Arabidopsis thaliana: one gene and its partners. The protein of the gene in region 1 interacts with the protein of each later gene in a biochemical or structural test. Each region holds a gene or a part of one and is shown in the gene's direction. Other genes may lie near its edges. The genes, in order: EID1, SKP1 and AT5G42190.

Region 1 (3,736 bases):
AATTCTGAGAGCTGCATTCGTTTTTATTGCACTTAACATTTCCCTATGTCATTACAGGTTAGAGAATATGATTCAAGGAGGGATTCGAGGAGCCCCAGCCGTGGAAGATCCTATTCTAAGAGCCGCAGCCGTGGACGGAGTCCCAGCCGTAGTCGTAGCCGCAGCAGAAGCAGGAGCAAGAGCAGAAGTCCAAAGGCTAAATCTTTGCGTAGATCGCCTGCAAAATCTACATCGAGATCTCCTCGCTCTCGCTCCCGCTCTAAGTCGAGGTCACTGTCTCCACGAGGGTATGCTTCATTTCTTCTATAATGTTTATGCTAAAATATCCAACATAAAACATAACATAGGCTCTATTTAGCTCTTCCCTTGAAGTTTGGTGACATCACATTAAAAGATGTCACTGGGATGACTCCGAGTTGTTGATTGAGAATGATGATTGCTTCTAGTTAAGGGTACACGATTTATTTCCTTTGAAAGTCTGGTCTTTTATAATTATAGTGTTGAGAATGGTTTTGTTTCTTAGATATGGATATACATACAATCAACTAAAATATGGGAAATAGTATCTGGATCATGGATGTCTTGGTTGGTTGTACACAACTGTTTCGTCTCAGAGGTATATGCTCTTTCTTAGATGGGCAAGTTCGTTTTCTGATAATATCCATTGCTGCTAGATGGGTAACAGTGGAGAGACATTGGATCGCATTGATATAGTGTCATCAAAATGGACCCATCGAGCTAGGACAGATATTTTCATTACCTGCTAATCGACAAGCGATCTGGATTCTCATGGAACCGATGCTGTTCTGGACACAGGGTTTGATAGAATTAGATTTGCTTTGATATTCTCCATCTCTACCATCTGTTTTAACGAAAAGCAGGCTTGTGTTGGTTTGATTTTCTGCTAGAAATAGTCTGAAGATATGTTTTTTTCTTTTTTGCTTCTTGTGATTGTGTTTTGATGTCTGACATGGAATGAGGCATCAAGGGTCTTGGTGAAACAGCTATTAAACACGGAAATATTGGATTTTTAAAACTGGATTTGTTTCTCGGACTTTTGCAGATCTCGTTCAAGGTCAAGATCTCCTCTACCCTCTCTAAGTCATCTATCTCTAATACACTTTTTACTCCGCTATACTATCAGCACAATATTTTCGGTTTTCAATCCATACTATCCAAAAGACATGATCTATGTCTAGCTAATTACATTCTCATCATCTGGATTGAATTGTGTGTGTTGCAGGTTCAGAAGGAAGCAAGTAAGAGCCCTAGCAAGCAGCTGAGCCCTATCCGTGGTAGGAGCAAGAGCAGAAGCAGGAGTCCATCTCGGTAATGCACACTCTTTTTAACTTGCTTGGAACATTCTCACTCTTTCTCTGAATCTCTTTCCAACTGTTTTACAGGTAAAGAAACATCTCATATCAGGTAAAAAGCTGGGTCTGTTGGAAGATTCTCATAAAGATGATCTCTCTTATGTATGAGAAGTTGAAAAACTAGTTGTGTATTTCATTCTTATTAGCTTGGGTTTGCACATGGGAATGATATATACTCAGTCATCATCAGTTTATGAGCTAAGCTCAGCTGATTTATATGACTTGCTAATATAGTTAGTGCTTAAAACGAACTATCAAAAATTACTGTCGAATACCAAACTTAATTCAAAAGCTCACAATTCGATATTAAAATTTTGAAAACGTTCACAATAAATGAACCTAAAAAGACATGTGCATTGAACTCATTTTGATACCCGGACCCTTTACATTTTAGTTCAGTCCGTACGATGTCATTTTCGAGAGCTGTTGCGCATTACTTACTTGCCTTTGTGTGGGTGTTAGTGAATCTGTGACCCACCTTAAGAACAGTTAAGACTATTCCCGGTTTACGCGTACCGGACCCATAACAGTATAAGTGAATTTGGATAAGAAAGGAGCCGCCTAGAGAGAAGAAGGCGATCCATGGCGGAATCTGTCTTCTCTTGTATACCAGAAGACGTAGTCTTCAACATCTTCTTCAAGCTCCAAGATGATCCAAGAAACTGGGCTCGTCTCGCTTGCGTCTGCACCAAATTCTCCTCAATTGTTCGAAACGTTTGTTGTAAAACTCAGTGCTACTCCGCTATCCCCACCGTCATCTCCGATCTCCTCCCTCTTCCTCCCTCCGCCGCCGCATCCGCTTCTTCATCCACCGCGGCGGATTCGTCTCTTACTCCTCCCGGTGGTTGGGCTTCTTTATACAAACTCGCTGTTTGTTGTCCTGGTCTCTTCCACGCTGGAATTCTCCTCGAAAACTCCGATTTCGGTTTAGAACGTGAGCTAGGTCCCGATCAAAACCTCGATCCGAAACCTACTACGACGGATCTAGCTCTTAACGACGAAGAAGTTTCGAAACCAGTTGGATCTGGTTTAGAAACGACTTCGTTTTGGTCTCTATATGATGATCTCTACACAGATACTATTCCCGCTCCTCCTCCCGAAGATTCAATCGACGATCAAGAAGAAGAAATCGAAACGAGTGAGATCAGACCTGGACGAGATCTTCCGGTAAGGAAACGAAGGAAGATTTGTCGATCTCTAGGATCTCATTTAGCTTCCGGTGGCTGGAACCTTAGCCGTGAACAAGGCAACAAGCTTCTCGCGAGTAGATTCCGAGGTGATTGTCTCTACATTTGCAATTGGCCTGGGTGTATTCACGTAGAAGAGAAACGAAATTACATGTTGTTTAGAGGAGTCTTCAAGGATTTCAAAAGGTCTAGAGTTTGGAGAACGATAAACGACGGTAATCGGAGTAAGACCTCGGGTTTGAAATGCGCGTTTTGTTTGTGCGATGAGACTTGGGATTTGCATTCATCGTTTTGTTTGAGAAGAGTGTTTGGGTTTCATGATGATGGTGAACCAGTTGTGAGAGCTTATGTTTGTGAGAATGGTCATGTCTCTGGTGCTTGGACTGCTTTACCTCTCTACACTTGATAGCTCACTAGAGAGGACAGGTCTTTCATTCTTCTTCCACGGTCTCAAGTCTCAATCTTGTTTGATGTATTTGTAGGAATAGTGTCATTGTGTTTCAAATTCTGGTTAATGTTTAAGTAATGGTTGAAGAAAATTGGCTCAACATATTGTGGTTGTTTTGTTTCAATGTTGACAACATATTAGACTTCGATTCAAATGCATAAACTCTTACGTCAAAGCCAAAAATTTCAAGTCCAAGAACATTTGGAAACAATATAACCCAAAACAAAAGGTAGAAGAAACTTAAACCAAGATCAAATCCATAGAAAGAAAACAGAGTACCAACAACATTCATATAAAAGAGGAAGTAATTCAGAGGGTTTCATAAACCTGAAAAGCTAATAATACCATATGGTTTTTCATCATCTCTAGAACAGAGTCTTCACTTGTCTTCCTTAACAGATGTTGTTTCTTCTGCCGCTGGTGCCTTCTCTGTCGCAAGACCTTCCTCCTTAACGGCATCATCCTTCTTGTCTCCTGATTTTGCTGTCTCTTCTGCAATTTACAGAAAATGTTTCATTACTTCAAAATTCTGCATTTTGTTGAGGAACAAAGAAACACAAAAATCTGCAAAATGTTTCCTAAGACAGAGTACTTGGCATATCATATGGAATATGAGATACTTCAATAACAAAGTCAATCAACTCTGGCGAAATGCTTTCATTTCAAGGAGGCTGTGACCAAACATAAACGAGAAAGATCTTCAAAAGTATTACCTTCATCATCACTGT
Region 2 (3,793 bases), on another chromosome or scaffold:
TTTTTTGTATGACACATGTCCATTTTAAATTACAAAAAACCATGTAAATAAAGAATAAAATACGTTATAACTAAAAAAACTGAATGCATTTCAAAAAAGTTACCATATAATCATATAAGTAAGCATATAAATCATACACCTTATCTTGATGTATATGATTAGTTATAACTAGAAAAGAAAACAAAACAAAGTTGAATATTATATCTAAGAATATATATTACCCATTAAGAAATAAATGAAAGAGAGAATAAAATCCACAGCATTATATAAATATTGTAGCCCTGGGAGTTCGGATATATCGGTTTAATCGGTTCGGTTTATTTAGTTTTTCGGGGTTTTTGGATTTTTTAATTTCTAGCCGAATTGAACCGAACAAAAATTCGGTTCGGGTCGGTTCGGACATCGGTTTTTTCGGTTCGGTTATTGGGTATAAATTAAATTCCGGATTAAACCGATTTTTTTTCTAATTCGGTTAATTTGAACCAAATAAACCACAAATTAAAAAAATGGACTTACAAAAATGAAATCTAATAAAAAACAAACAACAGGCCCAATACACAAATATACAGTTACAATTACAAATCCACAACACAATTATGGGTCAGGTCCATTACAAAATTAGGGTTTTGAGTTTTGACAAAAAAAATATGTACGACTACAACTCCAAACTGCGACGTCGAGCAGTGCCTCTCCAATCTAGTGATCTACCATTCCGACGACGTAATGCCCTACGAGACCTGTTAAACGCCCGTTTGTTATCCATGAAGTAAGAAAAAACATGAGATGGAAGTGTAAACCATAAAAGATCCATAAAAATAATGGATAATCTCAGATTTGGAAGTGTAAAGCCTAACTCTAAAATTTCAGAAATTATAGAGACAGAGGAAGAGCTTAGAGAGCAAAGAATCAAACAAAACAAATGATTAAAGAGAAATAAGAAGAGTTTACCCTAAGAAAGTTGAGGTTGTGGGTTGAATCTCTGAGCAAAGGTTTTTTGTAAGACCAACTGAGATTAGAGAGAATGAAAGAGGCTTGGAAGATGATGAATTCATGAAGGAGAAGAGACGAGTTGATGATTACTAATTCAATCGAAGAAAAATATCAAAGTTTCTTTGTTGTTTTCGCAAGAGGCAGAGAGCCAAAAACGAAGAAGAAACCTAATTAGGTTAAGACTCATCAATTAACCTTATATATGGCTGCAGATTCTCGGTATGGGTGAAACCGATTGGTTCCGATTACCGAACCGACCCGAACCGACTTCCGAATTCTTAAATTAATTTGGCCGATCGGTTCGATCTCCTTAATTCGGTTGCTGCCGAAAACCAAAATTTTCGTTTTTTTCGGTTCGGTTTTCTCGGGTTGAACCGTTATCCCAGGCCTAAAATATTGTATGACTCTTGACCAAAAACTAGTTAGATATATTATTTATTATGACATATTAATATTAACTTAATATAAAATAAAAATAAATGTTCAAAAAACATGATCTTAAAGCTGACAAAGCTGATTTGATTGACTAATACTTATCCTACGGTGATTTTTGGTTCTTTTACTTTTTTTGACAATTATGGAGCTGGATGGAAAAAAAATATATATAAAATCATATATTATTAATAATGAGATAAATACAACGAATTAAACGGATCAAAGTTAATATTTCCAAAAGAAAAATAGAACAGAGTCCTAATTTCATTAATTTCAACTATTGAAAACAAAATTTAAAATCAATAGGATTGATTTCTATTTTTCTTTTAGAAAAACAAAATTTGAAACAATTTCCTAATTTCCCTAAACTTGCGACTTTTTAACAATCGACCGACTTATCAAAATTAGGGATTGTTTTATATATAAAGAGAGACGCATCTCTTTATTTCATTCATCGCTTCTCCAAAATTTTCTTCAAAGAACAAATCTCCCAAATCTAAAATCTTTCTCTTCTCTCTTCGTTTCCATAACCATGTCTGCGAAGAAGATTGTGTTGAAGAGTTCCGATGGTGAATCTTTCGAGGTTGAGGAGGCGGTGGCTCTCGAGTCACAAACCATAGCGCATATGGTTGAAGACGACTGCGTCGACAACGGAGTCCCTCTTCCTAACGTCACGAGCAAGATCCTCGCCAAGGTGATCGAGTATTGCAAGAGGCACGTCGAGGCTGCTGCCTCTAAGGCCGAGGCCGTCGAGGGTGCTGCTACCTCCGATGACGATCTTAAGGCCTGGGACGCTGATTTTATGAAGATCGATCAAGCTACTCTCTTTGAACTCATTCTGGTATGTTTCTTCTCTCGATCTGATTTGATTTTTCCATCGAATTTTGAATTTTGGGATTCTAGGGTTTTCGATTTGGGAAAATTAGGGTTTCGAAATTTAGGTGTTTGTTTCAGAAATTGAATCTGCTTGAGATTGATATTGTTAGGGTTCTTATGGAACCAATCATTAATTGAATCTATCGATTTGGATTATAATCATATCTGTGTTTTTGGATTCGGATTTTGATCTAATGGTTATGAATTTGGGATCTTGTGCAGGCTGCTAATTACCTGAATATCAAGAACTTGCTTGATCTAACATGTCAGACAGTTGCGGATATGATCAAAGGAAAGACTCCAGAAGAGATCCGCACAACGTTCAACATTAAGAACGACTTCACACCAGAGGAAGAGGAAGAGGTTCGCAGAGAGAACCAATGGGCTTTTGAATGATTGATCTTCAGAGAGAAGAATCAAAAGCAGCAAGCAACCAGTTTCTTCTTCCTTATGTTTATTGCCGTTTTCAAGTGTTGTTGATGACTTGCTTTTTAATATTCTTCATGAATCATGACTATCTTCTTCCTCTTCTTTCTTTCTTATCAAGAACCAATGTTTCTTACTCTTTGTGGGATGGATAATTTGTGCTTTTAGATAATCTTCAAGAGTGATGTTGGTTTGTCTTACAAAATAACTTCTTTCAATTGTCTTGCCAATCGCCACAGAATGCTAATTTGCACGATTCATTTTAGGAATGTTCATGTGTAAATAAAAAGAAACTGAATTTGGCAGAGTCTGCAAGCAGAATGTGAAGGATCATGACGACTACTCATTGAAACCAATGGTCACCAGTTATGCCCTGCTCCTGCTCATCTACTTACATAAATATCTGCATCACGTATTTGTATCTTGTCAACATCTTCTCAAATACTAACATAATCAGCATCACCCATTCGTCAACATTCGATAACATGTGGGCTTTGTTTGCATATAAGAAAACAAAGTTTCCACTCAACCGAACGTGGATCACATGTACATCAATATAATTACTTTAATTGTTTGTCTGGCTAGTCAAGTGGTCTCTCGTCTCGTCATTGTGTATCTTATCTTTACTATGAGACTGAAAGAGATATCTTCTTTATATACAGTAACACTCACATTGTGGTCACTCGAAAAGAGCTAAAGAAAATGGAAGATTTGAAGCCAAGTGCCGCTAACTCGTTACCATTGACACTGTTAGGCTTTCTTGAGAGAGCAGCCACCGTGTATGGAGACTGTACCTCCATCGTTTACGGCAATTCCACCGTGTACACATGGCGAGAAACGAATCACCGTTGCCTCTGCGTCGCGTCTGCTCTGTCTTCCATTGGAATAGGAAGATCCGACGTTGTCTCTGTCCTATCTGCTAATACTCCGGAAATGTACGAGCTCCAGTTTTCCGTTCCGATGTCTGGCGCGATCCTTAACAACATCAATACCCGCCTCGACGCGCGAACCGTCTCTGTTCTTCTCCGCCATTGCGAGTCTAAGCTGCTCTTCGTCGACTTCTTTT
Region 3 (3,804 bases), on another chromosome or scaffold:
TTAATTATAAATAAAAAATCTAAATTCTAAATAAAAAGTAAAAAAAAATTAAATTCTAACCACTTTTTAAAAAATTCAAACCAAAATGTAATCTCGTTTAATTATAAAATCTAACCCTAGTTCTTCTTTGTACACCCAATTCGATATTTAAACTCTTTTAATTGCAAACTCTAAATCTCTAACCGTTCTTTCTAAACCCAAACCGATATTTAACATTGTTTAATTATAAAATCTAAATCCATTTATAAAACCAAACAGACGTTCAATCTCGTTTAGTTATAAAATCTAAAACTGTTTATAACTCAAATCGATATTTAATAGTAAAATCTAAACTTCAATCCTTTCTTATAAACCCAAAACTATATAAAATTTTGTTCTTGTGGCAAATTAGATTTTATAATAAAATAAATTTAATTTATTTATTAGGTATAAATTCTAATTTAATGGAATAAAAAGGTGAATAAAGGGGTGAATCTAAATATATTTTTTATTGGCCCATATTTTTTACTAGGATAATGGCCGATTATGCTTTGGTGAAAATTTAGATAACGCAAGTTAGATTTTTCTCACTTTATTTAATAAGATAAGATTTTAGCGGGGATGAAATTTTTACAAGCGAATCCCTCAATATTTCACTTATGTTCGTGGATGATAGCTTCTTTTTTGTAAAACGACAAAAAAAACAATGCGTCATTGGATTTGGAATACTAAAGAACTATGAAGAGGTTTTTGGTCATGAGTTGACAACTCGATGATGGACAAACTTATGGCAATCTTCGAAATCACTAATATAGGGGACATGAACAACTACTTGAGATTATCGAAAAGTTTAGGAGGATCTAAGACAAAAAAAATTTACTCTTTTAGAAAATATTTACATAATAGAATAAATGGTTGGTTTACAAAATTCTTATCTAAAGATGGCAAAGAAGTATTGATTAAATCAGTACCAGATGCATTGCTTACTTATGTATTGTCTTGTTTTAGATTACCAAAATCAGTAACATCAAAACTTAGGAATGTAGTAACGAAATTTTGGTAGAGTTCCAATGGACGAACAAAACGTTTACAGTGGAAGGCATGAGATAAATTTTGTCATAGTGCCTCTCTGCTCTCCCTCTCCTCCTCCGGGTGCCTCTCTGCTTGCTACTTGGTTCCGTCTCTTCAGTTAGGTCCTCCTCTGCGGTTCAGGTTTCCTTATGAGTTTTTTGAGTCCTTGGGTCGTTCCCTCTTCGTTCTTTTGGTTTTTGGGCCTGCTATTTTTAAGTTTCAGCTTCTTTGGTTGTTTTGGGCTTTGCTCTTGTTGTCGGGCCTGCGCGCCTTGGATTTGAGCTTTTGGATGTGTATGTTTTCGAGCCTGTGTGCTTATGTTTGGACACTTGTCTTATAACTTGTTGTTTGTTTTAATGGAAATTTAAAATTAAAAAAAAATAAGAAAAATAAAATAAAAAATAAATAAGTTTTGTCGTAACGGTGGACTTGGTTTCTAGAATGTGGATGATTTTAATACAACTTAATTAGCAAAACAACTGCCGCAATTGATTATGATTCTTAACTCTTTATTTGCAAAGATGTTCAAAGAAAAATATTACCGGAAATCAAATCACATGAATCCAATTAAATTATACACACCATCCTACAAATAGAGGAGTTTAGTATCTGTTCAACTACTGATTAATCAAAAGTTGATGAAAAGAGTTGAATTAATTTTCAGGTGTTTTCCTTTGAAAGAAAAAAACAGAGAAAATGTTTTAAAATGAAAATTTATAGGTAAAAAAAGTCAATTGGGAATCGTTAGATCTCACTGGTTCAATGTGTGAGCCGGGCTTTAAAAACATTTTGATTTAACCCATACACACATCTCTCTGTTCCACGATTCTCTTCCTCAGCCTCCACGTCGTCTCTAAACTCAGCAAAAACCAATGTCGACGGTGAGAAAAATCACTCTTAAGAGTTCGGATGGCGAAAACTTCGAAATTGACGAAGCGGTGGCGCTAGAGTCACAAACCATCAAACATATGATTGAAGATGACTGTACCGATAATGGTATCCCTCTCCCTAATGTCACAAGCAAGATCCTTTCGAAGGTGATTGAGTACTGTAAGAGACATGTCGAAGCTGCTGAGAAATCCGAAACCACGGCCGATGCTGCTGCTGCTACTACTACCACCACCGTCGCGTCGGGTTCTAGTGATGAAGATCTCAAGACTTGGGATTCTGAGTTTATCAAAGTTGATCAGGGCACTCTCTTCGATCTTATCCTGGTTTGTCAAACTTATTTTTAATTGCTTTGGTTTTCAAAGTTTGCGATTTCATTTCTAGGGTTTGAGATCTTGATTTCTGTTTGAGATCTAATTTTAGGGTTCAGGTTTTGTTTAGATTGCCAATTTCACAGTTTAAACTATGATCATGTCTGATTGAAATATATGGTCTGATAGAGAAAAAAGTGTCAAGAGATTTCTTTTGAGTTTGTTGGATTTGTTTATAGCTGAAGACCACTTTACATCCAAACTCATGTTTTTTATGTTCTGTCTTAAACATTGGATAATGTTTAATTTCTTTGGGATTTGCTTGAATCTAGATTTGTTTTTCTGAGAAACCTTTTGGATGCTAACATGACATGTTTTGTTCTGTCTGAAACGAGTGATAAAGTTTATTTTCTTTGGAATCGTAGTTCAATATGTTTGATTTGCTTGAACAATAAAGTTCCATTTTTATCTGAAAGTTGAAGAGCTTGAATCTAAGTTGGTTTCCCTGTGACACCTTTTAGGCTGCTAACTACTTGAATATCAAGGGACTGTTGGACTTGACTTGCCAGACAGTGGCTGATATGATTAAAGGAAAAACCCCAGAAGAAATCCGTAAGACGTTCAATATCAAGAACGACTTCACGCCAGAGGAAGAAGAAGAGGTTCGCCGTGAGAATCAGTGGGCGTTTGAATGAAGAAAAATGAAGACCTAGGTTGCTGTCATGTCCTCGACCCATTTGTGTCTCCCTGTCTTATCTTCTTTCTTTGACTATATATCCATTCTCTTCTACGTGATGGTCCAGCTAAGACAGTGGGTCGGATGTTAATGTTATGTTATGTATGTCAAATTAAAGACTTAACTACGAAACATATTGAAGTTGTTGCTCAAAAGAGAGTGTTGGTCTTCTATTGTTTCGTCAATCATTTAGATAGGTTGTGAACACAAGTGATAAGATTTGTCTGCATGTTCTTAGAAAGAGAAAAGATCTTATTACTTGTAAATAAATGCCTATACAAGCACACACGAGAGATTGATAGATAATTCTGATACAAGAACCTCTGCCTTAATCTTTAGAAAGGCCCATTCACAAGTAATCAATGTGACGAAAGAAAACGAAAGACATAAAAATGTAGTAGTAACGTGATGTTGGAAGCGTAGATTGAGATTCTAGCGAACCCTTCTGCAGTTAAGTCTGACCTCATTGCCATTCCCACTGATACTACTCATCTTGATCATCGATTTCACAAAAGCCCTCTCGAACTCTTCGTTGGAATTTGCATATTTGGCCACGAGTTTCTTAGTAGAGGGTACTGCAAGAAGCGATTCGTCGGATGAGAATAGTGACTTGCCTTGGATAAGCATCTTGTAGTAGATATTGTCGAATGACGTCACGGTTCCATCCATGTTCGATCCAGCATTCTTCACCGTGTTATGGGCCGGGCACACTCCCTCCAACCTGGCTGCGAATGAGGGGTTTAGTGTTGGGTCAACCTCCTTTTGTGTGTTGAATTTATGGAGCCTATTCTGGAACGATGAACAGTGGGCGAATCCTAG

Evidence for each region.
Region 2: the proteins of EID1 (region 1) and SKP1 form a complex in vitro, tested with the Arabidopsis thaliana proteins (one study listed by BioGRID).
Region 3: the proteins of EID1 (region 1) and AT5G42190 form a complex in vitro, tested with the Arabidopsis thaliana proteins (one study listed by BioGRID).

The regions. Positions count from the first base shown.
Region 1 is NC_003075.7:1,070,600-1,074,335, forward strand, and holds EID1 (F-box family protein), read left to right. Parts: upstream 1-1,881; 5' UTR 1,882-1,955; coding exon 1,956-2,966; 3' UTR 2,967-3,180; downstream 3,181-3,736. Other genes in the region: SR34b (RNA-binding (RRM/RBD/RNP motifs) family protein), read left to right, coding at 58-287, 686-767; AT4G02450 (HSP20-like chaperones superfamily protein), read right to left, coding at 3,388-3,500, 3,722-3,736. UniProt on the Arabidopsis thaliana protein: Component of SCF(ASK-cullin-F-box) E3 ubiquitin ligase complexes, which may mediate the ubiquitination and subsequent proteasomal degradation of target proteins.
Region 2 is NC_003070.9:28,514,758-28,518,550, forward strand, and holds SKP1 (S phase kinase-associated protein 1), read left to right. Parts: upstream 1-1,761; 5' UTR 1,762-1,957; coding exon 1,958-2,266; intron 2,267-2,523; coding exon 2,524-2,697; 3' UTR 2,698-3,139; downstream 3,140-3,793. Other genes in the region: AT1G75945 (uncharacterized protein), read right to left, coding at 656-737, 949-1,052; AT1G75960 (AMP-dependent synthetase and ligase family protein), read left to right, coding at 3,430-3,793. UniProt on the Arabidopsis thaliana protein: Involved in ubiquitination and subsequent proteasomal degradation of target proteins. Together with CUL1, RBX1 and a F-box protein, it forms a SCF E3 ubiquitin ligase complex. The functional specificity of this complex depends on the type of F-box protein.
Region 3 is NC_003076.8:16,853,635-16,857,438, reverse strand, and holds AT5G42190 (E3 ubiquitin ligase SCF complex subunit SKP1/ASK1 family protein), read left to right. Parts: upstream 1-1,697; 5' UTR 1,698-1,922; coding exon 1,923-2,264; intron 2,265-2,770; coding exon 2,771-2,944; 3' UTR 2,945-3,248; downstream 3,249-3,804. Other genes in the region: PER64 (Peroxidase superfamily protein), read right to left, coding at 3,418-3,804.